2 linked regions of the Drosophila melanogaster genome follow. The protein of the gene in region 1 interacts with the protein of each later gene in a pairwise test. Each region holds a gene or a part of one and is shown in the gene's direction. Other genes may lie near its edges. The genes, in order: M7BP and Cftr.

Region 1 (16,541 bases):
GGATACCTACTTTTAAAGAGCACGGTTGTACGTAAAGGAACTTTAGCGAATGGTGAACTTTAAACTTATTCAAATAGCTTGGGAAATTATAAGGAATTTATAAACAAACTTGGTGCAGAAGTTTGCGAATAAAAGCCACTAAATAAATGTATTCTATATTCTATTCTAGAGTATAGCCACTTTTGATAAGGACTGAATTAAGATGTCAGTGCATTATTTAAATAGAGCTCAACAATAAACATTACTTGAGCATTGAACGAGGCAATAACTTGTATCTGAATGCAGCAGTTTGCTCGAAGTTGTCCTGTCCGTCACAGGTGAGAATAGATGGCCCTGGGCAAAGTGGCTATTAAAGCTGAAGCCGTAATGAGCTTAAGCATTCAATGCTTTCGGTTCTGGGGCAGCGGTGTACATGTGTGCGTGGCCGTGTGCTTGTGAGAGTGCTTCAGTTCAAAAACCTCCAAACATTACGTCACAAGCTCGAATCCACACAGACACACAGACGGGGAGGCAGTGGCACACATTGAAAAGTGCTGCGGGCCAGACACCAACACACCGACACGTTGGTGTGGCGTGGCATGGCATTCATGCTGCTTTCGTACATCCTTGCTGAGCCGGAGCTTTGGACAGGGGCAGCTGGTTGTGTGGGTTAAGAGCGGGAACAGGGGTTAAGGATGATGCCTCTGCGTCTGTGTTTTGCAATTGTCTAGCTCTGCTCTACTGGGGTTGGCTCGGCTGGCCAACGTGGTAAGTAGAAAAATGTGAAGACACCTGGACCCGGATCTGGGCAACATTTCTGTCTGTTGTTCCTTGTTCGTTTTTTGCTCTTGCTGGCGGAAAAATCAATTTATGGATTTTAGTTTCGTTCACATTTGTTTTTATTTGCCTCAGTCCCAGCCGCATCTCTCTTTGACACGTTCGCGCCTCTCAAGTCTTTCACTGCGTCTGGCAGCTTGTTGATGCCACGGCGAATCGGAAGCCTTCAAACGTAAGGCGCTCGGGCGCCAATGCACCACCACACACCACTCATCATCACTCACAACTCGCAATTACAGCAATTTCTTTTAATTGCAATCAAATGAGACGAAAACGCTTGTCGCATTACTTACCCTTTGCCAGTTCACCTTTCTCCGCGCTTTTCACTCTACCTTGGCAGGATGCAGGATATAGCCGGATATCTTCGGTTGGCGCGCCAAAATGAGTTTAAGTCGTTCAGCTGCAATTGTGCGTTTGCGTTTGTGATTGCGTTTGTGTTTGCGTTAGTGAATGGGACAGAAGGCGAAACGGAATTAATTTATTAGAAGGGGTTGGGTACAACTGGTACAATTCACGGCACTGTCAACCCACTTTCGCCTCGAGCTAAACTTGGAACCACACGTACTTGGGCACTTTTGAATGTTTGCTCTGCACTGCAAAAGTTGCTGCTGCTGCCTCGGCCTTTGCTTCTCTAAGGACCAACACACTGGGGAGGAATCGCTGAACAGGACTACTGGAATCCTATTGCCTCGGTCCCTTTTATACGCCATGCGCTTGCGATCCACTCGCAGCAATCAGCTGGCGCGGATGCTGTGGATGCTGGTGGCTCTCCGAGATTCTCATTGCGCAGGTACAAACAAGAAGCGGTTGCAGGCAACTGACCGCGGCATAATTAATATTTAGTGGTAATTTCGGTAACTAATGGAATTAGGTTTTCAATAATAAGCCCTCCTTTAATCAGGGTAAACACCAGCTGCCGCCTGAAAGTCTGCAACGTTTTCCTTCTGCAGTTGCTGCTGAATTAGGGTGGACCTTGTTCAGGAGCGGGAAGTTCAGCCAGCCACTTGTTGCTGTTCCAAAGTTTGCGAGTCAGATTTGAAGTAAAGTTTACTAAGCTTTTACAGAATCATACGAATTTATTAGTATGCACTTTTGCTGATTATTTCGAGTAGTTGGTAAAGTGTGTATGAATATTTTATTTATTTTAAATGATTCCTTTACTATTACCTTACCTTACTATTACATTACTACAATATAAAATGTCAAGAATCTGAAGTTACGAATTCGTAGCCATTAACCTCCTCTAATTTTTTAGCCAATTTTATTTAGTGAAAACTAAAATTGTATTTATCGTCGTATCCATTCTCTAGACCCACTTCTCAGGGCTGAAACTTTAGAAATTTGCATAAATCATAAAATTAGCTGCCACTTTTGATTGATGCAAACGAATTAATCAACATGGCCGTGGTCAACGAAAGTGACTGAAGAAATGCTTTCACCGATCGAAGCGCCGGCGAATTTAATTGGCCACTGAATAAACTTCTTTGACATGGCAGATCGGTAACGCATTTGGACCATAAACAAACGAATCCATGAGATACAAACAACGGAATGCGAGGTGCCGAACTTTTTATTCACTCACTCATTCACCCATTCGCGCATTCATTGATGATTATCTTAACGGTTAACAGAGGCTCTGCGCATTTTATCACCCGGGATGATGGCGAGGAATTTTGATGTGAATGTTGAGCAGAACGGAAAGTCATCTGGTAATGCTCCATGCTGTTCCCCTTCCTGTCCTCGCTGGCCTATCAATGGGAGAACTAAACAAGTGCGAAAAATGAGGAAAATAAACGGCTTGTACAAAACGCTGAAGGTAAGACTTGCAGGTTTATTGTTGTTATACACTGAAAAATAAATCTGATATATCCATTGGCATAGCGGTGGTGTATTGTCACACCCTGGGATGTCCACTTACGGAGTCCGTCCGGAACCGTTTTTCCAGTGCACCGCATGTTGTTTCTCCATCTCAGGTGAGTGTGTCAGGTGCAATGGGCTGCTTTGGATGGCATGCTGGCTTAGTACGAGTGTCGGCGAAAAGCACATAAAGCGAAAAGAAAACGCAGTCGAAAATAAACTCAGCAAAACCCGACTTTGCCATGTATCAAATGTCTTTCAAAGGTAGTTAAACGCTTCCTACTCCACGCAGAGCCAAGTACCGCGTAGAGTACCTAGTTGGGTCAGAGTGAGGCAATAAACATAAACCAGGCCCAGCCTTCCGCCTCTTTCGCACTCCAAAGACCCCGAGGTAGGGTACCATCCAAACCGACTGGCCGGCCCATAAAGTATTTATAGCTGTCGCTGTCCATCGCTACTTTCGCGCGACTTCCTTCTAACTGAACTTGTGTAACCGAATCTTCAGTGGCCAGTCCCGGTCTCCAGTCTCAGTCCTCAGTCTCGGCCTCCTCTGTCTTCTGCCTCTTTCTCCGGCTGTCACTCCCTCTCTTTCGCGCTATCTCCCACCTTCAATCGCTTCCCTATGCATACAAATGAACGTTTTAGCACACGTCGCGCTAAGTGGAAAAGTTTGAGCAAGCAAAAAGGCTGACAGGAAGAAAGAATCAAAGAGCTGGAAATCAGAAGACAAAACAAATGGGAAGAAAGCAGACAGGAAAAAGTTAAGTACTTGGGAGAACAATTCCAAGCAATGCAAATGATTATCTCATATAAGCAGGGAAATATATTACTGAGCTTTATAATGAGTATATTAGTATAAAGTAGAATTATTATTAAGATTTCAGATTTAATTTTTAAATAAAATATTTATTTAACACTTATAAAATTAGGTACTAGGTTATGAGTGCTATTCCAAAAGAAATCACATCTAGTTAGTCTAAAGATTGGAACCGTGTAACTCCAGAAAGGGTTAACTGTGCACTTTCCATGCCCTAGACTAAACCGTAGGCCCTAGTCGAACTTGAAATCGTAACCCGTTTACCAACCCCTCCCGAAAACAAGTTCTACCCCAAAAACCGAATGCGAAATGTGGAAGACGACGACAACTGGCGAGGAGTGCAGAACAAAAGTTTGCCGCTAAATTTTCGTGACAGCTGTTGAGCAGCAAGAATACAGAGAGCGGCGAGAGAGATATTGCCAGTGCGAGTACGAGTACGAGAGAACCGACAACAAACGGTAAAGCTGAAGCAGCGCAACTTCGGCAAGCCAGACTCAGACTCGCGGCTCAAAGCGTGCGGCTCTCCGCTCATTCGCGTTTCAACCTTCTGCACAAACGGAGTGACGCTCGAAATCGAGGAGTACGTGAACTGGCCATAGGCTATGTGGTGTACGATCTTACGAAAGTCGGCGATAAACTCAAACTCCGAACCCCCGCTCCCCGATCTCCGATCAGCGAACCCCGAATCACGAACCTCGAACCTACAATCACAAATTACGAACCTCGAACCGTTGAAGCGGGACCTCGAAGGGCAGCCCTTTGAGCCTTGTCTAAAAAACGAAACATTCAGTGCGATTAAGTTGGTAGAGGGGCCCTGCACTCCTGCCACACTAAACAAACTATATATATGTATATGCAGATATTCGTGTGTACATAATGGGTCACTGGAGCGTGCGATATGCCCAAAGTGACAGCAGCAACAACTACGGCGACTAAACGTGCGACTCATGCGCAAAGCAACTGACAGAAACACAAAGGCGACAATAACGAAAAACGGAAAGAACCAACGGCAATGGGGGGACCAAAGGGGTGACCAGGTGACCGGGTGCACAGGTGAACAGGTGTCAATGTCAGCCGAAAACTAAAGCAAGGCTGCTGCTACAGTGCGAGTTCCAAAAGGGGAACCAATTAGGTGCACACTACATTAAACAACTAGCTGTTTTAAAATAGCGAGCTGAATCATTTCAGCTTAGACCTCAACTGGAGGTCTAAGGATATGTGTAACTTAAAAAATAATGTGCAATGTAATGATTAAGCAAAATTGAAGCTTAGATAAAAATGTTAATCAGTGCAGAATTCGTGAGCAATTGCTAAAACTGTTATTCTTTATCAACAACTTACTGAGTGGACGATTGTACTAAGAAAACAAAATAAATGACGCAGATAATTACTCACTAAATGAACTTAAGTAAAGAAGTAAATGAGCTTATAATGAACAAATGGTGAAGTGAACCTATGGAATATCTATAATTAATATATGTGAAGTGTACCCTCCACTTTCTAGTATGCATGTGGCTATGGACAGACTCGAACGTTCACTTAAATATGCAGTTCGCTCTCTCGATTGACCACTGTAGTTAGCGTGCACTTGGCTCGAACCCTGTGCAACCCCCGATTGTGAGGAATGGCCACAGGTTGCACTTCCGTTGCCATTGATTTTCTGCGTGTGTGCTTCAATATGTTTGTTCGTTATTTTCTAGTTAGCCACGGCTGTGAAAACAACTTTTACAAACAAAAAAAAAAAAAAAAAAAATTAAATAACAGACATTTCACCCGTAAATTGAAAACGAACAAAAGTGAGCAAGTAACAGAGGGAAAAATGAGAAAACTGAGATAACCAAAACCAATCGGACAGCATCGGTTAACAGTATTAACCAGCGACTGGCGGCGTCTCACTGCCAACTTCCGTTCATTTAAGCAGATTGTTGTTGCAGCCCCCAGGGGCAAGAGGCACCCCCCGTTGGAGGGGGGGGGGGGTGGTGTGTGTGGTGGCAGCAGCTCAGTTCACCACAAAAAGAAACTCCACAAAACGCATCATTGGCGTGGAATTGCTTTGACTAATTTCCCAATGAATCGGCAGTTGCGGTTGCGCCCTGTGGCTCCAATATATGTATGTATATATGTACATATATATGGGTCCATGTGTGGGGCATGGCTATTAAAGTTGACCGGGAAGAGAGTGTGAAACCGTTAGTAAGCGCTACTCTGACTGCGGGTCACCCGCTCCTCACCCGCAGCTTGATAAATAGTTTCCCTTCAAATATTTGCAAATGTGCACTGAGGGAAAATAGTGTCCGACTTGGTCCACTTTCGTCCCAAATACCAGTGAAGATGGCTTAATTTACTGTCGTCTCATAGAAATCAATTGATGCCACAAAGGTCTTACTCATGAAAATCTTTGAGGCTTAACAGTACACTTATACTATACTTATACTTATACTTACTTGCCTTGAATTTATATATGCAGCACTTTTATGTCAATGGGAAAGTTAACACATTTTTTTCCCTCTGTACAAATGAGCTGTCATAATTAATTGAGCCATCATCAGGCCAGCGAAGCTTGAGCACAGCCTTCTAGCCAGTTCTCCGGATGGAGTTGACCCATTTGCCGGCGACCCAATTGCATCTGAAATTGTTGTCTAATTAATCATCAGATTAGTTAGTGTAACAACTTAATTCGACATGCCATGCGAATGCCGCAAACAATTGTGTGAAAATTGCACAAATCCAACTTGCAGATACAAAAACAGGCACACCAGATACATACATACATATGTCTATGTATATGTGCAGGTAAATCTGATGCATATTGGGTAACACACTTGAAATGGAAATCAATTTCAGTTGACCAACCTCAACGAAAATGATATGCAAAACGCCGGATTTAGTTTTGGTATGCATGCAAATGCACTTTTAATTGCCGCATTGTTTGGGGAACTGCATATCATGCTGTTGCACAGCCTAGCCTATCTTTCGAATCCGCAGCAAATCCCATTCGGAGAATTTCCACACATCCAGCCGGGTTTCACTCGAAACTCCAAAGAAATGACTTTGGCGGCCCGCAGGCCACCACTTTTTGTTTCCCTTGTCCGAAACCATCAACAATCGCTGAGCACTGAAAATGAACAACGAACAGTCTGGAAACCGAACAACAAGTGCGTTGCTGCTCCGGCCATCCATCTATCCATCTATCCACGTATCTGTCCATCCATAGATACTTCGGCAGACGTACTGTCAGCGTTTCAAGTCTGCCATTTAGTTGGCCAAGAGCAGAAATGCTGCCTGCTGGCCGAGAATTTCTCTTTTTCCAATTTGTGCTGTGTGCGCATTTCGGTTTCGGCCAGTTTCGCTTGCCTTTAGATTTGCCAAATAGTTTTTGGGAGCCTGGGGCCTTCGGCTTTTTCCAAGATGAGCCGCTGAGCCACTTAACCCAATGCCAGCCAAATGGGTTAACCCGCCCCGAATCGATGCGAATCGCAGCACTCTGCGTAATTACGTGCCAGAAATTAGCATATTTGGGCGTGCGAACTGCGGCTATAAGTGCACATTTCACTTTGGGTGCAGCAACACACTGAGATACAAATGTATCTCATGAATATCATGAAGTGGAAGGTGACAGACCAACGCGGATATTTGGGGGGAGCTTTTTGAGATGCGTAGCGATGAGGCATCGCCAGATTCCAGGTTATCTGCAGCTGGGCGGGGGTTCGTTATCTGCCGTCGCATTTGTTTATGGGTCTCTGCCGTAAAAATAAACCAAAATTCCTTTGATTGCAGAACGAAAGCAAACGCTCCCAGGCACACACATACACACACGCACACCATACCAGCAGCAGTACCAGCACCCCGTAGGGGAAGTCTTGAATTTGTGTATCGCGCCGGCTGATAAGCTGCTCCGTAAGCGACTTTTATTTTCGGTGGCCCAAGTGGAGGCAGTGCGGCAGTGCTCGCTTCCAGTAACAAAACAATGCTCGTAACTGGCGCGTAATTAACACACAAAAACGCGCTAAACAAAAAAAACAAACAAACCAAAAGCAGCAGTGAGGCGAATTTGTTTGCCAAAAGTGTTTCTTTCATGTGCGTGAATGGAAAACAGTGCCTGCATGAGACACTGAGTGCGGAAATGGAAATGGCCTAGGGCCGCTCCCGATTCACAAGCAACCGACATACACACACACCACACACCGCCCAGCGGCGACAGCAGCAGCAACATGGCAGGTGAAGTGCCAGCAGAAACATCGCCAGTAGGATGCAACACCAGCAACAGCCAGGGGAGCAGTCCCCATCCCGATCCCATCCAGCAACAGCAGCTGAACTCCAGCGTGGACAGCGGAATTGCGGTGCTCGAGGCGGAGTCGCCGACCTTGAGGAGGCGCCAGCGACTGCACCAGTGCCAACGGATCCTCCAGGTGTTGCAGCGGGATCAACTCACCCACCAGCAGCTGCGCGATAGATTAAGGTGAGTGCCAGATTTTCAATCTTCTGAAGCATTCATTCGATCCAATTTAATATCAGAGGGCATATACATATATATTTATTTCCATCATTCAATTCGATGTTTTCAATTTGATTGACAACAACTTGAAGCTGTGGAAGTTGGACTGTGCCATGTGGCCAGAACGGAAGCCACAGGCAGCTGGGGGATTGGCCTGAGCCGACTTGGGTGCGCATGGAGCCCACAATCTTACGGCAAACTGCTCTGGGTGTATGCATCTGCATTTCGCAGACTGCAGGCGGATATCAATTTATGCAAATTTGCCGGCCTCAAAATGGAAATGACAAAATCTCGGGTGCAGTTAGTCAGTTAGTCAGTCACTCAGCCATGTCATTCGTACAGCCAGAAATCTTTCCGTGAGCAGTCGGAGTCTTCTGGGAACTCTTTTTTAGACAATTGTCATGGAGAAACCCGCTGCCTCTGACCACCGAGCTTTCGAATGAGTTTGCAATTTGGTTGGGAAACTGTGGCGGGGAAGTTCCATTAGAATGATAATGAGGACCAACCCAGTTCGGCGATTGTAATTGGAAAACCTCTTTGAACTATATTGTTGTCTGTTTTCAGTGTGAGGAAAGATACACTTTATAGTTGGATAATTATGCTACATAAACTTATATAACTATGTTATTGATAGAGAAACAAGTTGGAGTCTCTTCATTGTTTTTTTTTTATAATATTTCAGGATAGAGTTTTATAGAATTATAAATACGAATAGAGCATTCCGGAATCGACTGGTTAGATTGTGGAGCACCCAAATGTATGGCCCATTCCATGATAATTTCGTTTTCCACACGAGCTTCGATGCCCGAGGAGCGGAGTGGCAATCTTATCGAATGTTTCATAATTAAGTTGATTAATGGCAATTAATTGCCGTAAGCTTTGCATGCCCAATGGCAGGGCCAATCGATTTCGTAGGTTTTTCTTTTGGCCACAAACTCTTGCCACCATCCTCCAAGCGGCGGACATGTGACTGGCAGCTGCCAAGTGGCATATGCAATTGCATTTGCATAAGGTCCGTTGGACAACGTGGAATGCCAGAGAATAGTGGACGGGGTGGGTGGGTCATAAGTGTCCATATTTCTGCGGCTCAATGGGGATTTACCCGCCAACACCCACCCACCCCCACCCCCTCAGTTGCATGGCCAACAAAGCTCTGACCCAGTGCGCCAATAAGGGCCAGTTCCAATTTGGTTACTCGCCCGCAACGCACACAAATCCTAAAAAAAAACCACAAAAAATTTAAAAAAAAATTTAAAACCCTGGAAACATTTGGCCGTAGATTCAACACAATTGGAAAGAGTGTACACCCGTTTGTGACCTCACACCCGAAATAGTCTTGACACTTATCTGCGACTTTTTCGTCGCATACCGAGATATATATATTTATATATCTCTGGACGCGAGCGGAACTCTTATCAAATCAACGGTCGGTCGGTCGGTCGGTCGGTCGGCTATATACGCGATCCGCCATAACGAAGTGGGCAAACAAAATCCAATATAATGCCCATATACCCCAGTTATATATTGTGCAAAAAAGTAAACAAAACCGAATTCAACTTGGCTAAAACAAACCTGTCGCCGCTCCACTCGCAGTCGGAGTCAGCTGCTCCAATCGCCAAGTTAACTTAACTTGAAGATCGTTGGCACGGGGGGCCCTTATCCACGTGATCCTAATCAGTTTGTTGTATGTTTTGTTTCAATTTGTGCGTCATGCAGTCGGGATTGTTAACGCTGTCGACGGTTTGGGCTTTTTGAAGATGGAGCAAGGTGATCGGCGGGCGGGCGATGGCAATTAGCGGACTGAGTTCGTGTGGCAAGCACCTGAGAAACATATTGCCCGAAAAGTGATTGATAATCGTCGTTCGTAACTGCAAACAGAAATAACAAGACAAGCGAAATTTGTGGTAATTATTTATTCAGATATTTCGCCAGTGAAGTTCATTTCGGTTCAGTGGGAAGATTCCACTCCCAAAATATTACAAAAAAACCAAACAAATTTATAAATAAAACCCACATCTTTAATGCCAACTGAAGTGAATAGCACGATAATTAAAATACATCATTCTTAGAACCACACACACACACAACTGATGCTATAATTTTTGTAAATAAAAAAATGCAAAACCAAAGGAGATTATGCAACTGCCAACTTCTATAGAAGATCTCGATGAAAAAAAGCAAAAATGTCGATAGGAGCTTTGCAAAAAAACACATACAGACATTTATCAAGTTTAATTAGTGCTAATCGCAATGTGCAAAAATAAACACAAAGGAAAACACTTAGGCAATTAAATTAACGTATAAATAACTGCTAGTACGTGATTCGAACTGCAGACAAAGTTTTTTCTAAACTTCTCTCAAGTGATTGCATCTAAACTACGAGATTTGCATACTTAAATGAATAATGTTCTTTAAGTGATTTATGACAACAATTTCATTTATCCTTCTTTGCATTATGCTGAAAATTATTTATCACTAATGGTCACGACTTCAAATGTGACCAATTGCACTGAGTTGTACCTAAAAATATTTATTTACGTGATATTTTCGCTGGGAACTAATTGTATTACTGGTTTACCAATTTTCTATTCAACTTAATAACCGAAACTTAAATGCCCTGCTCAGGGTATATTTACCCATACAACTTCATGTCGAAATCTAGGCAATTTAAATCGAACAAACAAAACTTTTGATAAGGCTAAGGCCAAAGTATGTATTGGCCGAAAACCACGTAAAATGTCCACAAAGAGATGATAGCCGCAAATGAAGAATGTTCGGCTCTGATAAGTAGTAAAAAATAGTTTGGTGTAGTATTGTTCCGGATATTTCATTGATTCAGTATAGTTAGGGTTTTCAATCGAGGTGGAATTAAATCAGAGCTGCTTCCGATAAGTGTGTGTGTGCGTGTGCTTCTGATGCAAATGCCGCGAAATCGATAGCGTAATTGAATTCAATGCGAACTCCGCAGTGCCTGAAGCGCTGGATGCGCCCCTACATCTGCCTCATGGAGCTGCCAATCAACCGACCTGGAAGCGGGAACCTGCTGCTGGGACTCACCTCCGTGGTGGGTCTCATTGGAGGCGCCTATCTGCTGCAGTGTGGCGCCCAGCAGCTCTTGGGGTGAGTTAATCAAATGGGAGATAAATCAAAATATAGCATCCGATGGATACAAGTTCGACTACGTGAGCTAAGCTCCGCATCCGCACGTGCACTTTGTATGCTGCAGATACAAATGCAGCGCGAGATAAATCCGAATAGAAACTGAAACTAAACTTTCTTGACTGCAACTTCAACCCGGTTACGTGGCCATCGTTTCGCATGAGTTGATTGCGTTTGCGTGTGGGAAATGGCCGAGCTGAAGAGATTTGACATAATTGTTGCCATTTCTCCAGTCGCCGTTTTCCACCAGCTACCATTTGCCATTTGTTACTTGCCCCGTCGACCGGGATGGCGATGCAACTGCTCACTTTGGGCATCGAGTGCGTAGCGTCGCCTTAATTAAGGATTGCGCAATCTCCGCCACCTGCCTCCAATTTATGCAGCACCTGTTGTGTCTCGGCGATGGCCTGCCGGTCCGTTAGACGTTTCATAACATTGCCAGTCCAGACCCAGACGAGCTGTCATTGACTCTTCGCGAATCCGTCCACAAGAACGATAGAACCTCGAAGAATGGCCAGCGGAAGTCGTTGGCCAACAAAGGGCACAACTTTCCACCGCCCACCCGCCGCCAGCTGCTTTTTCCTTAAAAAGCGTCACAAATTGGCAATAACAATTGGCCATGGCTAACAACGCCCCTCAATTGTTGGCCTTTCGTCACCTTTTCAATGGCATCTTAATTAGCCGCTTTGTTGACAGCATTATTTGTATTATTATAGCGACGGCAGTTACACATCATTTTTCAGTGTATTAGGGTAATATGCGTATCGAAACTATAAGGCTCTGAGTAATGCATATCTTTGAGGCACAATTTCTTTATATATTTAAGCAAGGAAAAGATTAAAAACATAAACAGAATAATAAAGTTTATATGAGTACCATTTTCTACATACGAGCTTTCAGTTCGCTTATAATTCACTTATTAATTTCCGGGTCTTAAAGACGACATTTTATGAACGACATTCTATGAAGCCAAACGAGTTGTGGAACTGTGGAAAGTCAGCCAAATGCAATTAACTCTGGCCGATGGCAGAGTTTAGATATGCACAGAAATTCTGGGTTTTATTCGCCATTAAAGTGAGAAGAAACCAGTTATCTTGGCCTTGTGGCAAGTGAAAAGCCGCAAAACGAAATATTTTTAGTGCTTTCAAAACCAATTGTGAGAACAATAACAAGTTGTGGAAAATGTTTAAACTAATGCGATATTATTTACTTACTATTGAGCAGTATTGTTTTCGAGTTTGCTTATGGTTAAGGCTGTTGAAAATCGTTTTCTACGTAATAAAGCATGCTTTTAGGCATATGAGTTTTATTTGAATTTAAATAAATTTAAGATTTGGCCAGGTGAATTAAGATATTCAAGATAATTCATGAATCCATTTAGATACGGTCAATGATGATCTCACGAAAGCCGGATAGTAAACTCGGAGATAATCAAAAGATTATTACACTCATATCAATAAAACAATTTACGATGCCACTTGCTCGCTTCTACCAAGAATTTATTAATCTCCGGCTCGAAGTTCTGGGAAATTCTGTAGATTATGCTATCAGAGGAGCATTTGTGAAAGCTTCTGGCCCTGTTGGGATATTAATAACCTGACACAACCTGATGGCTTGACGCTTTCTTGTGCGGGAATATGCTAATGGCGGACACATGAGACTCACATACATACATCATACATATATTAACCCAGATTCCCAGCACAGATTTCTAGGGAATCTCGAAATCTTAAGGCATGAGATCGCAGCTCGAAAAGTTCCCCGGGCTTTATGCCGATGAAAGTGTAGCGGCAACACCGTGGCGCCATTTGTTGCCAAAATAGTGATTAAAACTCGAATCCAGCTAGAAGTCGATTGATTAGTTAATAAACCGCTCACAGCATGCATACATTATATACATAGTATTTTGCCAGACAAGAACCAAGCCAACTCGTTTGCGGAATGTTTCTCACAATTAGCATTTGGAAATTAATGAAGTTCAGGCCAAAAATAAATTAGTCGACAAATGAATGCAGCAGACAGGCGATGATGCTCGATGATCTTCGACCACGTATGTATATCTCCTCCAAAACGGTTCCTGTTCGACCAGGTTTCCAGCTCTTGGATCAGATCGGATTGGATCTGATCGGACCACAGTGATCGGAGAAGAAAGGCGATAAATCTGCATGGAAATGTGCGCAGTCATTGCTTCCAATCCGCCACATACACATGTCGACCCGTCCGACGGGATCGTGGGCAGGGGGACTCCAACTTACGTCATTGACGAGTTTGTTTAGCGCTAGAGAGAGAGAGAGAGAGGCAGTGGTTTCCCGCTCTCCACGATCGAAACCGGCATGGGATACGGCTGTGGCTGTGCCAGTGTGGTTCTGTGGAGAGGCCACAGCTCCATAGCTCTGGCTATGTGGAGCCATAGAGACCCGATCTCAGCTGTTGACCGCCGACTCTCAAAGCCAACTGCGCATAACAAAGGCGAACCTTGTGCGAGAAAGTTGTCAGTGTCGTGGGACGCGGATCGCGATTTGATAGCGAATTGGCATTAAGTGCTTCCATTGGCGAAATCGGTTCAACGCGAGTGCCATGCCAAATCCCAGCAAGCCCACCGGCGCTAATCAGTCGACAAACATTTTGAATACCTGAAAACCCGATCCCGACACCTGGAGAACAGCCCCCCACACCACACCACACGGCAGAGAATCCACTACAGATCCAGCTGTCGATCGAGTTCCAGGGAGAATGCTCTTCTCCGCGGTGGTGTTGTGCCAGGTGGAGCGGCTGATGTGCCTGCCCATCAGCTTCGCGGTGCTGGGCTTCCTCTTCATGGCCTGCACCATGGAAGTGGTGCTGCTCAAGTTGACCAGCACTGATCCGGTGCTCGGACCGCCCGCCGAGGATTGGGAGGAGAACGGGGGCCCGGATGGGGAGGAGCAGATCTACTATGAGAATCTGGAGAACAACTATGAGTACTGGGCGCGCAGGAGGATGCGATTCCATCGACAGCGACAGCAGCAACAGCACCAACAGCAGCAGCAGCATCTGCCCACATAGAAGACTTAGGCTAGAATATAAGTGTATATTTTTAATTAGATCGGTTTTAAGCGGCTATACTGACTGAGCATCTCTCCTACACACCTTGTGTTTTCAATCGCTTTCGACAGCCTGTGCAAGTTATTTGAATCTTTCGCAAGCGTAATGTTTTCGATGACCGTATACGGTTGGCTTTTTCCTTAAATTATATTTGTTTGTTTGTAAGCGAAATTGCGAATTTTGCCATTTGAATAAGTTGAGCAGCAATCCGCTTGGCGATTTCTCATTTCGAGCACGTACAAGACACCCAGGAATTCCCTTCTTCTCTCTTGTGTAAGAACTGTAAGTGACTGACATAATCCGAATGCATATCGAGGCAGACAGACGCACTGCCTCTTAGATTGTAAGTTGTTTGTGATAGAGCTACATGTATGTATACTTTAAGCCAGGCCATTTCGCCTAAGTTGATTAAACTCGGTTCGAAGCCTCATTGCCTTTTTGTTTGCCTGGTCCAACGGGTTTGCGTTGTTATGCAATTGGCGGGATTTAACAGCCGGGAGAAAGTCAATTGCCCCATGCAATTGCGTTTGGGTGGGGACTGCCCACTATTTAGTTGCCGGGGGAAGTGGTGGTCGTCGGTCCAAAAGCCAGAAGTAGCACGATCAATGGCTACCGACTAATTGAGCTGAGTTTCAGCCAATGACCTTCTGGCCGTTGAATAACCCCAGCTAATCGCCAGAAACGACCTGACTAATCGTCTTGTTTCCATCACCATCCAACATTCTCGAAATAACGCGCGCTTCCTTCCGCCTTGTCTCTTCCAGCAAACTAGCCAATAAGAAGTGGAGGAAGGAGGAGTCCAGCAGCGAGGATCACGCCTGCAACGTCTGCTGTGCGGACCTGGATCTGAGCAGTGCCAAAAAGTGAGTAGAATTCGTGTCTCCGAAATATTGCGAAATACCTGTTTGACATTGTTGATCTTACTGATATCAGCATTTCTGCCGAAATCTATTCGTTTGTTTGAACAACAGTCTGGCTTCTTGATAGCCATATAATAAATAATTCGAACAAACACATTTGCAAAGTATAATTTGCAAAAGAATTGGTTGCTTTCTCCTGCATCGGTTGAGGTATTTACTGCTCTGTTCACCGAACTAAAAAGAAACCAAATTTATTTATGCAAACAAGTATAGTTAAATTTAAATAACTTTTTTTACGAGAGATTCCACGAGAACTAAAACCTTCCATTCTAAATAATAAATTTCCATAAATGGCTCTAAGCTCATAAATAAATATCTCTTTAAGTGACCTGGAAAGGTACTGGCGAATATATTATACAATTAATGATCTGGGAAAACCTTTTGCAGCTACGTGACATGTTGCACCTGCGAAAAATCGGTTTGCCGCGGGCCTAAATGCGCCGACTGGCGGCCCAAGGACGCCAAGTGGGAGTGCCAGCTGTGCCAGAGCTCCAAGGAGTCGCTGGCCCACACCTCCTCGTGGGTGGCCGAGCAAATGTCCTTCAACCAGCATAAGTTTGTCTATCCGATGAGGGCTAGGAGCGAGGTGTATATACCGATTGTGGGCGATGGCAACGACAGCAGCATGCGTAAGTGCGGTTCAGGGAAAGGAGTACTTGGAATATCTAGTCTATACTTGCAGAATTCGAGAGCGTTAGCCAGATTGGACAAAACGCCCACATGGACGAACGGGCCAAGATCCGCGAGTACGTCGAGGAGATTGTGGCCGAAATGCTGGGCGGCAATTTGGACCACGTCAAAGTGGGGCAGCTGTCCAAGAGTGAGAACTGTAAGTACCCAGATTGCCTGAGATTCGATTAGAGCGAATGCAATTTATGCAATTTGTGCAAATCAAATTCAATTGGCACGGCAACATTTTTTGAAATCTTGCTACACATTTATGTTGCCAAGGGCTTAGCAACATTTGTTGCGGGCTGACAACCGATAACTCAAAGCATACTTTTAGGCAAGCTTTCAGGTGAGAGCTTGCTGAAAAGACTTTCTGTCTGCTGTTTGTTTTGTTTGCTCATTAACCGATATTTGCACCCCTATTTGACACACACACACACATCACACATCACACACACTACACACATGCAATCAGACTTGCAACTCTTTGATAAATTCCATGCGAAGCTGAGTAACCTGCTTATCAATGTGGAAAACAGTTTGTGCGCGCGTGCGCTCAGGGGAGGTAAGTAATCGGTAATCGATAATCACTAATCGATCGAGCACGCACGCTGTAATCGTCTGTTTTGTACGCTAACCCTTCTAACATCGATTACTATTTGTTGTAGGCAGTATTTTCAAAACTGTGTTTGAATTTAAGCTTCCTGTTTACTTATTAATATAG
Region 2 (16,939 bases), on another chromosome or scaffold:
CATTTCCAATCAAGCCCACCTTCAAATGCCTGGCTGAATCGATGAATACACTGAGTACCGCCGAACTCATGCTGGTCACGCGTAGGAGTTGCGTTTCCAGCAAAATCTGTTGCAGATCATTGGGATCGGCAGTGAGTTTGTACCATTGCAGGCGGACATGCAGAAGTCCATGCTTGGCATCTTCCAAGGTGAGCCACTATATATTATGAAACATATTATTTTCATACGTGTAAATGCGAGAGTTCTAATTACTTACACTATCCACAACGCCTTTCTTGATCACGCTGGCAATATCGATGCTGGCTCTATTTTGGGTAGTTAAAAAGTTAAATTAGTTCACGGCAAATATGATTTTAAATCAAAAGAAAAAAAAAAAGAAAATAACAAGAACAAGAAAATGACAACTTCTCAACGGGTTCCCTTGAAATTCAAGCTATTTGAGGGCATCTCGTTCTGAGTTCTTGTTGGGTTAAGTTATTGGGGCAAGTGTGTGTCCGTTTTTCTTGTATGTTCTTGTGGATGAGTTCGTTGGTGTTCAATCAATTAATCGATCAATCAATCAAATAGATGGTTGCCTAACCTGCCGAGCGACTCGTCATCACTAGTACGGTCCCAGTCAAAAAGTCTGAGCACGAGTATGGCATGCTGCGAGACCTCGACCACAGCCTGCTCCATTCATCGTTCGAATCAAAAGCAAGTTAAAAGACATTTTTCGCATTATTATTGGTTAGTTCCAGCGCAAAGTCTACACAAACTACGGTCCAAATGTGGGTGGATTATTTACAGGATCGAATCTAACTACTTGTACAAAATATTTGTCATTGGCATGCCGGTGATTCTGGTTTCATTCATTGTGTGTCTGTGGTACAAAGTGCTCCAGCTTTTGCTTGTGATTCAAAAACATGTGTCAAAAGGGCATGCAGATTAGTTTTGAATCGAGTCATGTTAGGTCGGCATGGCGAAAGTGTTGAGATTTTCTTATTAATCAAATTTACTTCAGCATAGTATAATAAACTCAAATGGTAACTACAGTTTAAATGATACTAAAATACCAATCAAACTAATTGATGATTGTTAACATAATTCAAACATTAGGTTATGTGAAACAATAAGTAAACACAATTCAAATGCTATTTGTTTAATCAAACTATTGGGGTCACGAAAACCACTTCAATTGGCCAATTTCTCATCACTTCGCTGTGTACGTTTTTTTTTTATTTTTTTTTGTGCTTGTTAGTAAACGTATTCAGAAGATAAATGAAAATCAAGAGATACAAAAAAAAAAACGAAGATAGAACAAACAAATGCAGTTTCATGCGGCAATACAACCTGCCCAATACATCATCGCTCTGTACACCTGGCATAGTCTGATCATAGTCCCACAAAGAAAACCCAATATAGTGACCAATGGTGGTAAAAATACACGCCTAGAAAAACGAAAGTGTGTGAGTGTGTTTCCTGCGGTGGCAGAGAAAGTAGGCAAATCCATAGAGCAAAGCGAAACGGAACGAAACGAAACTCAAGGATATATAGTCAGTCACTTCTCAGTCACTTCATGCAAAAACGAGCTCTCAACAAGGATTACTCACTGGGGATTTTCAAGAAGGATTTTTGGGGTGGAGTGTGTTGGTGGTGTTGTGTTAACTCAACAAAAAGTGAAATGATAATATTGCTTACCTGCCCAGGTTCTCGTCTTTCTTGGAATCGTCCGAGTCCTTCAATTGAATCTCGACAAATTGACCCATTTCAATAAAAACAGTAGCCTGCGTTCAGGCGCCAAACAAAGTAATCGAGTGATGATAAAGGAATGAAAAATCAAAATGGAAAATAACACAAGGGCAAAACAACGAACTATTATGCAATAAATCGGTGGTTTTTTTTTGTGTTGGATTGTTTCATGCAGCAATCAATCGACAACATCGGCAGACTACAAAAAGCAAGGCAAGAAGCGCAGGGGATCCCACGGCGGGGAATCCCCGCAGGAATCAGCCAAGGAATACGTACCTCACACCAATAGTCCCACTTGGGATTCACATTGTTATCAATGATCTGGGTCTTGAACTCCTGGGCGCCCACATTGATGATGGCATAGGGATCCGACTTGCCTTTGCCCAGCACACTGATGTCCTTCTTCATCAGATCCTTGGCCTCGACCACGTGAATGCGCAGGATGCCCTGAAAATTGCCATCCATATATAAAAAAAAGATTGATATTAATAGTCATTGTGGACCCACCTCTGGTTCGGGCATCTTGAGGGCCACCGCCGAAACCTCTTCGCTGAGTGAAATGGGCAGTTTGTTTGGCAACACCATCACATTGCCAATCTGCTCCACGATGATCCTACGCAGCAAGTCACTCAGACCCGGCATGTCCATAAAATCAATCACACCCACCAAATTGAAATCGATATTCGGATTGTTCAGGAAGAAGATCTGCAGACCGCCCACCAGTGGCATCGATCGGATCAGTGGCTTCATCACCACTCGCACCCAGCCATGGATCTGAAAATCCTTGATGCCACCCTTCATACCACCCAAATAGAAATTGATGTCGCAATCGCTGGCATAAAACAGATCCAGATCCATAATGATCTCGTTGCGATCCACGTTCTTATCGTAGATCTTCACACCGCCGATCCGCGGTGGAATGGTGCCCAGAATAATGCGATCGAACCGAAAGCCATGCATCTTGTAGTTGGCCAGAGCTAAAGCCACATTGGGTTCGATGGTTTCCTTTACCAAGGTGCGTGCAAAGTGATTGGCATTGGGCCACACTTGTTTCAAGATCTGGCAAAAGGATAACAGATAGGATTCATTCATATGGTAACTGAAACCAAATCCCACTCACCTTATTCAACCACTCGCAGCGCTCCACATCGGGAAAGTAGACCCACGCGGGCAGCTCGTCGATTCTGGCCAGGATTACGTCCTTCTCGGACGCCAAAGCCGAGGCCTTGGCAATGTCGCGCTTCTTCTCCGACGTCTTGGCCAACTGGTCGCGTGCCACCGAGAGGATGACCGGCGCTATCAACCAGGCCACCGACCAGCCCATGTAACCCACCAGATAAATGGATCCCACAATGGCCACCTTCTTGCCCAGCGTGTAGAACACGGAGAAAATGCTGTTATCATCGCTTACGGATTTTGTGGCCACAATTGAGTTTCCATTTGTCGTCTGCGTGGGCGGTGTACCATTGCCGGTGGGCGTGGTCGGCGTTACCACTGGGGATTCGTTCATTTTTTTAACCTCCACCAGTGGCACAAAAGGTTCGGTCTCCGTGGGATCGGGTGGGATGGTGAACTCCGCCAAGGGCACCGATGGACTGTTATCGCTGCAAGAATTCAAATGTACACATTCCATGAGCATCTTGTCCAGATATTTCCGATACTAAAGCTCTCTGGGCAGCTGACTCATTAGCGTTTGCCGGCTAAGATGCCGGCATCGAACTCAATGCTCATGATTGCGATGATGTCATACTATATTGTGCTATTAGCTAGAAATGTGATCTTGAAATGCCTCACCGACTATCCACGATTCATAATTATAGTATACAAAACGTTTATGAACACTTCGTTTGTTTACTTAGCTTAATTTTTCACTTCTTCAATACACTCTCGCATTGCTCATACGCCATGTGGGTGGGGTAAATTGACACAGTTTTACGACTTTTCTGATGGTGCTCAACCACCCACCGCGTTACCTGTTGAGTGGGATACACAAAATAGCTTTCATTTCGGACGAGGGAAGACCAACTTTGTTGGCAAGTTTGCTTATCACAAAGGAAAAGGTATAAAGGTATTGAGTTACCCATTTAAACTTTGAAAAAGAAAACTTATTTCCTTTCGTTTTTTTTATGGTAAGCTCTATATTTGTCCCATTTTTTAAGCGAAATTAATTTGAAAGCATTTAATAGTTTCTTTGTAAATAAGTAAATAACTCTTGATATTATATTCTCTCTCTCCTGAACTTTCCACAGTTTTCCGACTGTTTGTTTCACGTTTTCCACCCAAACTTTTCTTTTATTTTCGCGTCTGCCTTAATTATTCAACGCTTAGCAGCAGCTGTTGACTTTATTCAAATTTCCCAGAATATATCTCATTGTTTACCTTTCATTCTTTTTCATGCGTTAGCTTTGGGGACTCATTATAATATAGCCGTAATTTTCTTTTTGCAGGTCATACAATTTTCATGTGCAACCTTGACTTGAGTAATCGTACAAAACCAAACTTTTCAAGAGATTTACAACCTCAGCATTTCAGCATTTCAGCATTTCACGCTTTTCAACGCTTTGTTAGCTGCTAACAACAAAGGCGCCCAGAAAATGTTCACTAAGCCCGATTCTTGGAGTGACCAAATGGGGAGGTAGGATTTTCCTGCTCCGAAAAGGGGAGAGAGGGACACCCTCTCCGGTTACGAGCTTTGCTAATTCAACTTTAACTGCTGGGGAATTGTTACATCTCGTTCTGAGCTGATGGGCACCTGTTGAATAGCCAGCCACCAGGCAGCCTTCTGCCCCCCAAAATGGGGCATCCCAATGAGGTAAATATATGTAGAGCGAAGAGTGAAACCCGAAAACCGAATACGAGAGAGGGACTTAATTCTAGACTGGCTGCCAAAGCTTGTCTGCCTTCGAAAATGATGATGGGGAGACTACTTCCCATTGCCAAGAACTTGAACCGAACACGGTTTTATTGTTTTTTTTATTTTTATTTTTTTGTTTTGCTCAAACTCAGTTTTTGTTATTTTTTTGGTTGCTCTTCAGGTTTCTTGGCGATGACGTAGTCGTGGCTTGTGAATGTTTGGAATACTTGAGTGAGTAGCGAGTGAGTATGTCGCTTGTGTCGTGTAAATGTGCTTAAATAAATGATAAATAAATAAATTAATTGTGGCATCACCTCATCGTTTGGGTTCTGCTCTCACTTGGTGTTGTGTTTGTTTTTTATGATTTTTCGGTTTGGAAAAACTTTGTGTGCATCTGAAATAAAGATTTCGTTATCAATTAAATGTGCAGCCATCAAGATGGTTTTATGCATAAATTAAAATAGATTCAAGTCGAGTTTGTGGGTTTTTAAACCCTGTACGCTTGCATTTAATCATATTTCATATCAAAAGTTTCCGATTTTGGCTTTTCTATAAATAGAAATCTTTCTCTTTCTGCATTTCTGTACTGGTTTTCATAACGTAAACACTTCGAATAGAACATTTTTAGCCTTTGCAATTAATTGAAAAATTATGCATTTCTTTGTACATATTTAGATAGCTGGTCGGAGCTAAAATTCCTTTCATTAAATATTTACACACACAAAAACCACACCGAACGGAAAGCCAACTAAATACGTATTTATACATATATATATTGAGGGGCGAATATATAGCTGAGGACGCCGCGAATGTTTTTTTTTTTTGTATATTTTTATCAAGTTCTATATTTTGCAGTAAACAAATGAGTTTTAAAAAAAAAAAAAAACGAATTTCGATTACACATTGTAGAAAAACGGGAAATAAACTGATTATACGCACCGAGAGAACGGAACGAATTCGTAATAGACCTGATTACTTCACTTCAGTATATTTAATTTTCGAAATGCTGTAATAAACGGAGCGAATTCAGCGTCTTTTCATTGTGAGCGGCGTTTCGGAACTAAATTGAATTGAATTCAATTCTCGTAGCCCCAGCCACTAGAAGAATCTCTCGACTTTGAGTCAAAGCTCGCCTATTTGAGTGGAAGCTACATTGCCGCAGCAGCCAACAGAAGCACCAGCAGCACTGCGGGATCCTTGGCGCCATGGTTTCCCATTCGCTGTGTCCTGGACGGAGGCACTGTACAGCAAGGTTGCGCACACAAAAGGACCTCTTTGTGCGACTATTAATCTGAATATTAATGAAGAGCTTAGTGCTTCTGTACAGCCGCAATCAGAGAAAACTTAAGCTGCATGCATGCGTAATTCGATTGGCAAGAAGTGCAAGGATTCATTATGATTTATGTTAGAAAATGTTTAAATTTTAGGTATACAAATTATAGAAAGTAATATGATTTGCATGCCAATGTTCATATTTACTAAAATAGGTATTACCTACGTAATTTTATGTAATCATTTGTGTTTGATGATCGGTTTTCCACTCATTGGTTGACCAGTGTAATCGAATTGATTGTCCTTCGTCCTGGGTCAAGTGGTAATTGTTGTTGTTAGTCGCCTGCTAATTTTTTTTGCTGCCCGACTCACTTGTAAATGAGATAAAATCTACGCTGTGTTGTTGGGTAATTAGCAAAACAGTTTGAGAGCCACTGCCGGATGACGCACACGGGCGTAATAAACCCGGTTAAGTGAGCAGCCATGAATAAGGATTAAGCGGCATTTTTTTTGGTTTTTTTTTTGGTTTGTTTGCTTGCCGCCTTGTTGCTCGATTCCGCTCTGTTTTTCATAAATATCAAATGGCTGCGTAACACATGGCGTATGTGTAATAATCATGCCATATGCATTTTTAATGCATCGATGTGAAATCGAAAGTTAAACAATGGGCGTGAGCGAATTGAGTTGGTGCTGCCGCACGAAAAAAGCGCAAAATCAAAAGCAAACAAAGTGTGTCCGGTAGGTAGAGCGTACTTGAACATGGCCTTCAACACTCAACACCCACACTTGTCCATAGCCACCCATGCACGCACACCGTTGCACACATTGTCTGGCTGCAGGACATGCAGGAGAGCAGAAGAACTCCGCCGAAGGACAATGGCAGCTGGCAGGCAAATGGAGTCAGCGGATGTCGGATGTGAATCCCTGCGTCCGCACACACTAAGAAAATATATAAGCGAAATTCCGCAAATTTCCTGCGATTAAAATAGCCCAGGGTCGCATTATATGATTTAAAGGATCTAAAAATATCCTATTGATGTTTTGTGCACAACATTATTTTATATGTGATAATCACATAATATTCAAGCAAATGTTTTAACTTTATTATTATTTGATTGGTTTTTATTTAGTTGTCCGATTTATCCTCTGTGTATTTGGTAATCAAGCGGATGTTAGTTGCTCCTTTCCGGTGAAACAAACATACGTATTCTCATATTCCCGATTAATGACACAATGAAGCCTGAGGGAAATTTCGAGAATATACACACACACTCTCATCCTGTATCCTTTTAAATGAAGTAACATAACACACACACACCAACATGTGGCTGCCATTTAATTGCCCCTAAATATTTTATTCGACCTTCTCTGATTTGCCTCTAACTCATGTGAGTTCCTTCGAGGTTTTTCAACTTTGAACCTACTTTTCGGGAATGGGGGCGTGACGGCGGGGGGGGGGGGTGGCTGGCCGTAAAACTTTCGCACCGCCAACGTGCCATAAAACTTAATTCAAAACTAAACTGAGACAATTCCCGGGCGATAATCGAGGTCGCACGATGTCGACGCCTTGACTTTATTGAACGAACAATGTAAACAATTGGGAATATTCTACTTTTTGTACTGTTTTGAATTTGCAAGAAAATTGCGTCACATCGACTTTGATTTATGGAGCGACGCCAGTCGAGCAAAACGATGGAAACCTGGGAGACCTGGTCCACTGAAGGTAACGTTGATGGTGTGCAGCAGGTCAAGCAGACACTGAGACACAGTGAAAATATTATATAAACATTTGTGTTTTTTTTTACAGAAATTTATTGTATGATCAAGATTATTTGGGTATATCACATTAAACAGTATTTAATTATATGATATGCTCATGAATTATTTTTTCATAAATTAACTCTGATTTTTATAAGTGCAACGGAAGCAGCATTGATTGCAGTACAAATCTCTTAGATACATTTAAGGGAAACATTAAAGGAGGTCAGAATCGAATTACAGCCAATGCTGATTCAAGGCTCCACAGCTGGCAATTCAATCAGAAAACAAGCAATTTAAACTTGCTTCAACATTGTTGAATTTTATGCAGTGCTTTTTCCATGAATTTCGAGTAAACATTCTAATCACTCGTGTGGAACTCGGGCGAACACGTTTTAGCCATTTCATCATGGCTCAGGTAAATGTTTTTGGGGAGGATCCTTCTTAAAGCGTTCCTTTCTCGCCAGGCATGTCAAACTTTTTCCTTTTGACTACGTGTGGTTAGCCAAAAAGAGAGATTTAGCCAAGTTGTTATATGCAGATGATGTTAACGTAAAGCGGCCTCAGGGAAACATATAAAATAACTGACATGGGAGCCGGGCAAACAGGCGGACTGCAAATGAAAGTTTCGCCAACCCATTAAATTATTCTCCATTCGAGGCGTGTTTCAGACTTTGTGTTTTTGCTCCGTAATCCGAATCCATTATTGGGCTTTAATATCGGTCGCCGGACTGACCGCAAATGGGTATCTAACTAAGTACGATGTGAATGAATGCCTTTTGCCCTATGAATTATACACAAGTTTGTTTCTATTTTTTGTGAACTGGCTGTTGGCCCGAAATGCCGACAGTCCTCGATTCCCATACCAAAGTGAAGAAACACGCACGGAAATCGTTGATTGCGGCAATAAAAAGAAAAAAACAATGGCAACCAAAAAGGCGGCCGATTATTAATGGGGCTTGGTCGGTTCAAAGGATACAATGTCAAGGATTGTTTGAGAAAAACCCAGCAGTGGGAAACTAGTTTCGAATATACAACTTCCGTTTAAGGATTTGGAATTCATGGCTCATAAAACGAAGAGTTTCACACGTTTTATAGTGCGATTGTATTGTTCAATTGTAATACTTAAATCTTTAAAACCACCTGCCTGAATTTCACTGTAAAAACTTTCAAACTATCCTTGCATTTTAAGCCACTTCCTGCTGGTATGTGGATCACACATTTAGTCTGAGCACGGAGTGTTAATCTATCTGTCTAATTAAAATATTTGTTTAATTATACGGGCACGAGAATTCCGAGGGAATTTCAGCCAGTTCCATTCCCCAGTGCATATAAAGCGTTCCACTTTGGGGGGAACAACTTAACCCAAGCGCAAATCCTAAACTTTTTCCCTCGCCTGACTCGTCGTCACCAGCTGCAAGGATATCTGAGTGTCAGTGTGTTTGTGACTAACCACAACCACAGGACCGGAGACGCCTTAATGTGTCCACATTTTAATTACCCTTGATGTCGAGTGCGAAAGCCTGCCACCGAAAAGTGAAAGGATAAACAACAGCAACAACAGTGGAGCAGCAAAAAAAAAAAACAAAATAATAACAGTTGAAGGCTTCATGGAAACGCGCTGGCTTTCATAAATATTTCAAATGCCTACCAAAGTCAACCCTTCTTCTCTGACAGCTCTTTCTGTCACTTGACACACTGCGTTTTGTACTTGTTTTTTTTTTTTTTTTGTGGAAGTTTCCTTTGGCCAACGCTGCGTATGTGTAATTTACATGCTCCAAGTTGAATGAAACCAATGGGAGCGTCTCTAGAGTAGCGATAAGAGCGCCAAACCTTTTCGCAGGTGAACTTGGGGCAGTCGCCACTTAGGACTTTTGCATTTTTAATGTTACACACAAAAAAAAACCATAAACTAGCAAAACTTACATTTTGCTAATGGCTGTGAATGATTTTAAGCTTGCCCTTATTTGATAGCTTACCTTAGGACGGTTTACTTATGTTTAACTTTCTTCACTTGAACGGCAAAAAAATTAAAGAGTTCATAGTTGTCAAAGGACATTTACAGTGGTCTCATTTTCCACTAAGCCTTTGCCCAGTTTTAGAGTCACTGGTCCTTTTTGCAAACAATGTCAATGGGTTACCAAAAATAAAATTCAATTGTGCGGCCCCTTTGTAGTAATGTTTCCTTTCTTTTATTACGCTTTTTTCAGCTGCCCGGCACACAAGTTTCTGTATTGATTCGGAAAAGTCGCGCGCAAATTTCCTCCGCAGGCTTTTGGAAAACCATCCGCTGGACTTTTCACATTAACCGTGCTGAGCGTTCCGTTGTACGCGAGTCGCACAACTGAAAGTGCGCTAACTGAAAGCGAAATTCTATTGCCTTCGCAATATCACTCATACGCAGTGTTTGACCTACATCCTGTAACAAGGTTTTCAAGAGCGCAATTGAGTGAAAGAGCGAGCTTTGTTGTTTACGTTCTCAGCTATTTTTGGCGCCAAAATAGAACAACTGTTGCGGTGCGTGTTTACACAAATTGAGAGGGGGTTTTGGGGGGGTATGTGGCTAAGGACATAAAATGTTGTGCAGCTGTATTAATAAGTCCTTATAACTGACATTATATATGTATATAATTTATAATTATATACATAATTTCATTAAATATTTAGGTTACCATTACATAATGTTTCATGTTTAAATTATATACAAAAAAATCAAATCAAATGTATTCAGAATCAAATGATTTGCTCAACAATTTATATTTAACATAATTATACATTTCATATTGAAAGCTTTATTGTTTTTTACATTTCAGAAGCTTTTGTTCTCTCCCAAAAAAGAGAGGAAAGCAAGACCGCGTAAAATTTCGTAAAAATGGAAGTGACAAAATATGAGAAATTATGTCCAATTGGACAAAAAATGGATTGAGCACATGTTCTATCATATGAGAATGAGATTGCAATTCCAATTGTAACTCAAATTGACTAATATCTGAAATGTTTAAAAAATTAGACAAAAATATATGTACTAAATGGTAGTATTGTAAACTACTTAAAAATCACGGGGAACTTGTTGCGTTCGCTATCGAAAGCTTACCATCTCTATTGACTGTAGCCATAAGCTTGTTTGTTTTGTATTTCATTCGGTCCCGAACTTTTGAAGGAGGAGGTCGTTTATGGAGCACACGGTTGCGCATTCGTTGGTCCGTTTGTGCGAGTGTGCGTGAGTCGGCGTTTTGTGCTTGTGTTCGTACTATTTCTGCACGTGCTGCTCCGTTGCGACCAATTCGGGTGATACAATAATAATAATAGAGCACAGTAGTGTGAACCAATTTATGCTCTGATAGCACAAGTAAGTGTAATTCGAGTGATTAAATCTAACGGTGAATTGTTAAATTTGGAAGTCAGTACATTCGCGTAATAAGTGTCGTATGTATGTACATGTGTACATCCGATTTGCATGATTGTGTGCGCTTTTGGCTCTTTGTTTTCGATGGTCGCCTGGGTGCTCAATGTGCTGTTATGTCTGCGTCTGCTGTAATTCTCCTCCGCGTTTACGTCATAAACCGTTATTAAAATTAGTTCCTACCATTACGGAATACTTTCCAATGTGTAAGGCGGCACTGAAAGCGATTGGAATGCCGGTTTTCTAGCAAACAACCACTTGTTTGCCCGTGAGGTCGCTTACCGATTGGCCCAGTGCTCTTACATATATACACATGTAAATATATACAGTAGGACTTCAATAACATGGATTATCATATTTTATTAACAAAGAAATATATTCCAATTGATTAGATAAATTTCAAAGCCCTTAAAAATTCGATACGTTTTTCCGCCTGAAATCATAATTACTAACCGACCGAGTCCCACCATTTAATGTTTCACTGTAACAGACTTGCCGATACCGGTAAAAATAAATTAATCACTGGTTTACAATCTGTTCGTTATGCGCCTGTCTGTGTTTATTGAGCGCGTTCATAAATTAGATTTCGTTGGAAATATTTATGAAACCTAAAGCGCTGAATTGGTTGTCACAGTTGTTGCTTACAAAACTCGTTCTAAACAATTGAAACAGCATTAAAATTCCGCATGTCGCTGAAATAATTGCAATACTTAATTCTAAGTCATAGCAAAGATAGCGGGGCTAATAAAAATCACCGCCTTTTCTAGCTGATATGAAAATCGGCTATAGTGGGTAAACTTTGAAAAACCGAAAACATTGGGTTTAAGTAGTCTTAATTGTTTTAATCGAAATGGGAAGATGTACAGCACGTTTTTCTATCTATTTACGTAAATTCATTGGCGTCGTATGGGCTTGCGCCCATACAATTTAAATCTATTACTTTGAAAAGGGGAGCGGCATTGAAATGGCGTTGGAACTGAACTTTGTGAGTGCTTTAATGCTATTTCACAATGAGCAACTGAGCAGCATGAAAATTTCCCGGTCAACAACTCCACTACAACTACAAACATGTGAAGTTTAATCGAAAAGTTATAATTTGAAAAGTGAAATTTCCGCTTGTAGCAAGTAGGTCAAAATAATTTCGCCTGGCTTATAGCCTCAACGCCAAAAACATCCGTGGTTATAAAAAGAAATATGTACATATGTACGTGTCCAAACACCGGTATAGCTTATCTGGGAAGGTCTCTGGACTTTTGCTTGCCAATTAATAAACATTATGATTATTGTCATACAAAGATGAGCAAGTATCGAGTTGGGGGGCTCCAAATGCGTTTTGATTTACGTTCCCCGTGTCGCCTGCTATCAGTTACAGACAAAGCAAATAGCAATCATAGACATTAAGCTAACGACCGATATCGTGTGACTGACCCTCGTAAGTCTATGCTGAGCAAAGTTCAATCCACGCATCCTGGGATTCTTCATACAATCGCAGTTAGTTCATAAAATTTATCTAAATAGGGGTTGTCTACTAAAACTAACTAACAATTTTAAAACTAACTTCGTTTCTAGTCACACGTAGACCTTATCAGTCACGAAAAGACTATAGTTTATGGTCGTCTATTGAAAATATCAGGAACGTATGTGTTTTTCCTCCAGTTACATATTTTCATATAGTAGTTAGTAAGATATAGTTATATAGACAGTAGTACTTTTGCTTTAGACTACTCTTTATTGGTCAAGGTCTTTGCTGATAAGAAAGTAGCTCTTCCTAGACTAGTCTTCTAGCAATCAACTAGTTTTATACTACATACAAACATGATAAAGAATGCGGGCGATACAGTATACATTGGTTATTTGAAAGTCATAGATATTATATATTTTTTTTTTAAATTTTTAATCAATTTCTAAATTAAATTGTAATCTGCACTTCCTGCACTTAATTAAAACATGTCATATTACCAATGTTATTGGCGAGTATAGTTCAATCACGCCTTTTATCTTTAAGCCTTTGATTATTTAACATGAGCTTAGTTGTGGCTTGTTTGCGATTGCAGGCAGAAGGAGTTTCTGATCTAGACGAGAGCTATCCATCCATATGATAGCATGGATAGCAGTGCAAAGCCAACGCGGAAAAATCCGCGACAGCATGCAAATATTATTTCACAACTAATATTTGCCTGGGCGATACCATTACTATATCGAGGTTCCCGCAGAGGCCTTAATACGGATGACCTGACACAATGTCTGAAGGAAGATCGATCCGAGCAGTTGGGCGACCGTTTGGAGGAGTAAGTACTGAGATCTAACATCCTCTTTAACTGACAACAAACACTAAGGAAGTTTGACTTGCTACAAAGTCGTATTAAACATTTGTCAATTGTGATCAATTTTTAGTCAATGGTTTAAGGAACTAGAGCGATCTCACCGCAAGAAACAGAAGCCGCATCTCAGAAACGCACTTTTCCGCTGTTTCCTAGGACCCACGATCATCAATGGCCTCATTTGCTTTATCTACATAGTGATCAAGTGAGTTGGGGGTTTAATTTAACTCATTATATCATAATTAATCTGTTTCTAGGACCTTAATTCCAGCTGTTCTTGCACAGCTGTTGATTCAGTTTCAAAAAACTCCTGTTGCGCAATTAAGAAATATCGATGTCAATGATATTTCAATATCAGATTCCCTGAATCGAACAGCACGGGCAATTCCAAACTATGTGCTGAGTCAGGCTGTCGCCAACTCTAGTGGATCTCCAGGGGATGGTGAGCTTTAAACAAAGGATTATCATTCTTGATTAAATTATACATATGAATCATGCATATTTCAGCACTTTTCCCCAAATCGCTGGACAAAGCGGGTCCACTGGAGCCGATTCAGCCTCCAGTAGAGGAAGTGGATCACAATGCAACCGCTGTGCGAAGCATCTTGGATCAGACCGTCGAGCACATGTGGAACGATATGAACAGTCTGGGCGCCGTCCTGGTTCTTTCGACGCTGTTCTGCTGCTTCCTGTTGCACCACGTCGATCTCCGACAGCGCCTAATGGGTGCACGGATGCGAATAGCCTGCTGCTCGCTGATCTACCGGAAAACTCTACGGCTCTCGATGAAAACGGCTGGTCAGACGCCAGCTGGTTACCTAATCAACCTTCTTTCGAATGATGTGAATCGTTTGGACTATGGCTTCATATTCATGCACTGGATCTGGATTATGCCATTGCAGGCGATGCTCACGTGCTACCTGATTTGGCTGAACATTGGCATCCCAGCAATTGTGGGTGTAGTTGGACTGCTGCTAAAAACGGTGCCCGTGCAGACGGCCTTGAGCAAGGTAACCTCTGTGCTGCGGATGAGAATTGCGGAGCGAACGGACGCGAGAGTGGGCATTATGAACGAGCTGGTGCAGGGCATTCAGGTTATAAAGATGTACGCCTGGGAAAAACCGTTCCAGGCGGTGGTGGCCGAAGCTCGGCGTAGCGAGATCAAGCAGATCCGATATGCATCTTACCTGCGTGGCTTCTACCTCAGCACCATGGTGTTCACGGAGCGATCCACTTTGTACATCACCCTGGCAGCGGCTGCTTTGATGGGCCAAACCATAACCGCAGACTTTGTGTTCTCAGCAGCCAGTTACTACAATATCCTGCAACTGGTGGCTGCCATTTGGTATCCACTAGCTGTAAGCTTTGGAGCGGAAGCATTGGTTTCTCTGCGTCGGATTCAGGACTTCCTTATGCTCGAGGGACGTGAGGAGCGCACTCAAGGACTTACCCATAAGCGAGATCAGGAAGGTGGAGACTCCAGAGCAGTGACCATTAAGGACATTAATGCCAGCTGGGATATTGAGAAGCCACAGAAAACGCTCCAAAGCATTAATCTGCAGATCGAGAAGGGCCAACTGTGCGCAGTTATTGGACCGGTAGGTGCCGGAAAGAGTTCTATCCTCCAGTTACTGCTGGGTGAACTGCCCGTTATCGATGGAGGCGTTTTTATCCAGGGTGACCTCTCCTATGCAGCCCAGGAACCATGGTTATTTACGGGATCGGTGCGAAATAACATCCTTTTCGGTGAAGAGTTTGATAGGAAGCGTTACCAGGAGGTAACACGGTGTTGTGCCCTTAGCACGGATTTCCAACAGCTGCCAAACGGAGACAAAACTCTTGTGGGTGAGCGTGGGGCATCCCTTTCCGGAGGCCAAAGAGCACGCATCAGCTTGGCCCGAGCTGTCTATAAGCCCGCACAGATTTACTTGATGGATGATCCGCTAAGTGCTGTTGATGCGCACGTGGGCAGGCATCTCTTCGATGAGGTGATTGGACCCAGAGGACGACTGGCTCAGCTGAAGGCGACTCGCATTCTAGTGACCCACCAGGTGCACTTCCTGTCCGAGGCCGACGTTATTGTTATTGTCGACCAAGGAAGAATTTTAAGGCAAGGCACCTACCAGGAGCTGATCAACAGTGATCTGGACTTCGCTAGGCTCCTTGAGCGACCCAAGGAGGAGGAGGAAGGGGAAAACAGTCGCAATCAAACATCCCCGCTGAGTGTCAATTCACTGGAGAGTGACGACGAGGACATACCTTTCATCGATGGTGTAAAAGATGGGTACCAGCAGTTGAGAAAACAGAGCAGCTCGGTACATGGCAGCAAGTCGGTGGGTTAACAAAGTCCCAACATCTAATGTGCACTTCATTATGTAAAGAATTTTCCGTTTCAGTTGGACAGTACCCAACTGGATGATAATGTCGATGAGGATGATCTGGCCGAGGCCCAAGCATCTGGTGGCATTTCACCACGCGTTTGGTACGAGTACTTCCATGCGGGCAGTACTCTTCTGAGCTTCAGCTTCATGGTCTTTGTTATGGTGATGTCCCAGGTGGTGTGCAGTAGTTCCGATTTCTTTGCGAACATCTGGACACAGCAGGAGCATCAGAGGTCGCAGGGAGAGGCCACTTTCTCAACCTTCGAGTGCATGTACATATACGGTGCTCTGATCATCGCCGTGGTGATCATGACCACATTCCGTGGCTTCCTGTTCTTTAAGATTTGCATGCATGCCTCCAAGGTGCTGCACGATCGCATGTTTGCCTGCATCCTGCACGCCACCATGAGATTCTTTGACACCACTCCGTCTGGAAGGATTCTGAATCGCTTCTCCAAGGATATGGGCGCCATTGATGAGTTGCTGCCGCGGGCCATGATGGATTTTATACAGATCGCTCTGGTGATGTTTGGAATTCTGATTGTTATTGGTATACTGAATCCGGTTTTGGTGGCCGCCATGTTGGTGGTAGCCGTTGTGGATGTGCTCATCCTGAAGTTGTACCTGAGACCTTCGCAGGATCTCAAGCGATTGGAGGGCATATGCCGCAGTCCGGTGTTTTCCCATCTCAGTGCTTCCCTTACGGGTCTGGCCATCATTCGATCCCGCCAGTTGCAGGATGTGGTGGCCAAGGAGTTTGATTTGCTGCAGGATGTGCACAGTAGCGTGTGGCAGCTGACCATGGCAGTGAATACGACTTTAGGCTTGTGGCTGGACTGTGTCAGTTGCATCTTCCTTACCTCTGTCACCTTCAGCTTCATTATCTCCAGTGAAAGTGAGTTCTATTAGAAATAAGTTATTAAAAAGAACAAAACTAATAGGTATATTTTCTAATTTTAGCCACTTATAGCGGCAACGTAGGCTTGGCCATTGCCCAGGCCATGATCCTAACCGGAATGGTGCAATATGGAGTGCGACAAGTGGCCGAGTCCTTGCAGCAAATGACCAGCGTGGAGCGCGTCCTGCAATACACCGAACTGGAGCAGGAGCCGGCGCTGGGCGAAAAAACGCCACCGCAGCAGTGGCCCACACGCGGTCAGGTGGAGTTCCGCAATATGAGCTGTCGTTATGATCCAAATGGATCGCCGGTGCTTAGGAACCT

Evidence for each region.
Region 2: the proteins of M7BP (region 1) and Cftr interact in a two-hybrid assay, tested with the Drosophila melanogaster proteins (one large-scale study listed by BioGRID).

What each region holds. Positions count from the first base shown.
Region 1 is NT_033778.4:7,619,224-7,635,764, forward strand, and holds the start of M7BP (Myosin-7a binding protein), read left to right. Parts: upstream 1-9,577; 5' UTR 9,578-9,889; intron 9,890-10,953; 5' UTR 10,954-10,968; coding exon 10,969-11,105; intron 11,106-12,271; exon of another isoform or gene 12,272-13,877; coding exon of another isoform or gene 13,878-14,189; exon of another isoform or gene 14,190-14,992; coding exon 14,993-15,091; intron 15,092-15,129; exon of another isoform or gene 15,130-15,535; coding exon 15,536-15,777; exon of another isoform or gene 15,778-15,830; coding exon 15,831-15,977; exon of another isoform or gene 15,978-15,996; intron 15,997-16,292; coding exon 16,293-16,382; intron 16,383-16,541. Other genes in the region: CG43341 (uncharacterized protein), read left to right, coding at 13,878-14,189.
Region 2 is NT_033777.3:24,537,722-24,554,660, reverse strand, and holds the start of Cftr (CF transmembrane conductance regulator), read left to right. Parts: upstream 1-10,746; 5' UTR 10,747-10,961; intron 10,962-11,235; exon of another isoform or gene 11,236-11,330; intron 11,331-13,069; 5' UTR 13,070-13,118; coding exon 13,119-13,303; intron 13,304-13,409; coding exon 13,410-13,541; intron 13,542-13,593; coding exon 13,594-13,778; intron 13,779-13,843; coding exon 13,844-15,669; intron 15,670-15,732; coding exon 15,733-16,612; intron 16,613-16,677; coding exon 16,678-16,939. Other genes in the region: Esyt2 (extended synaptotagmin-like protein 2), read right to left, coding at 20-196, 257-305, 1,330-1,427, 2,005-2,175, 2,236-2,787, 2,849-3,332, 4,897-4,901.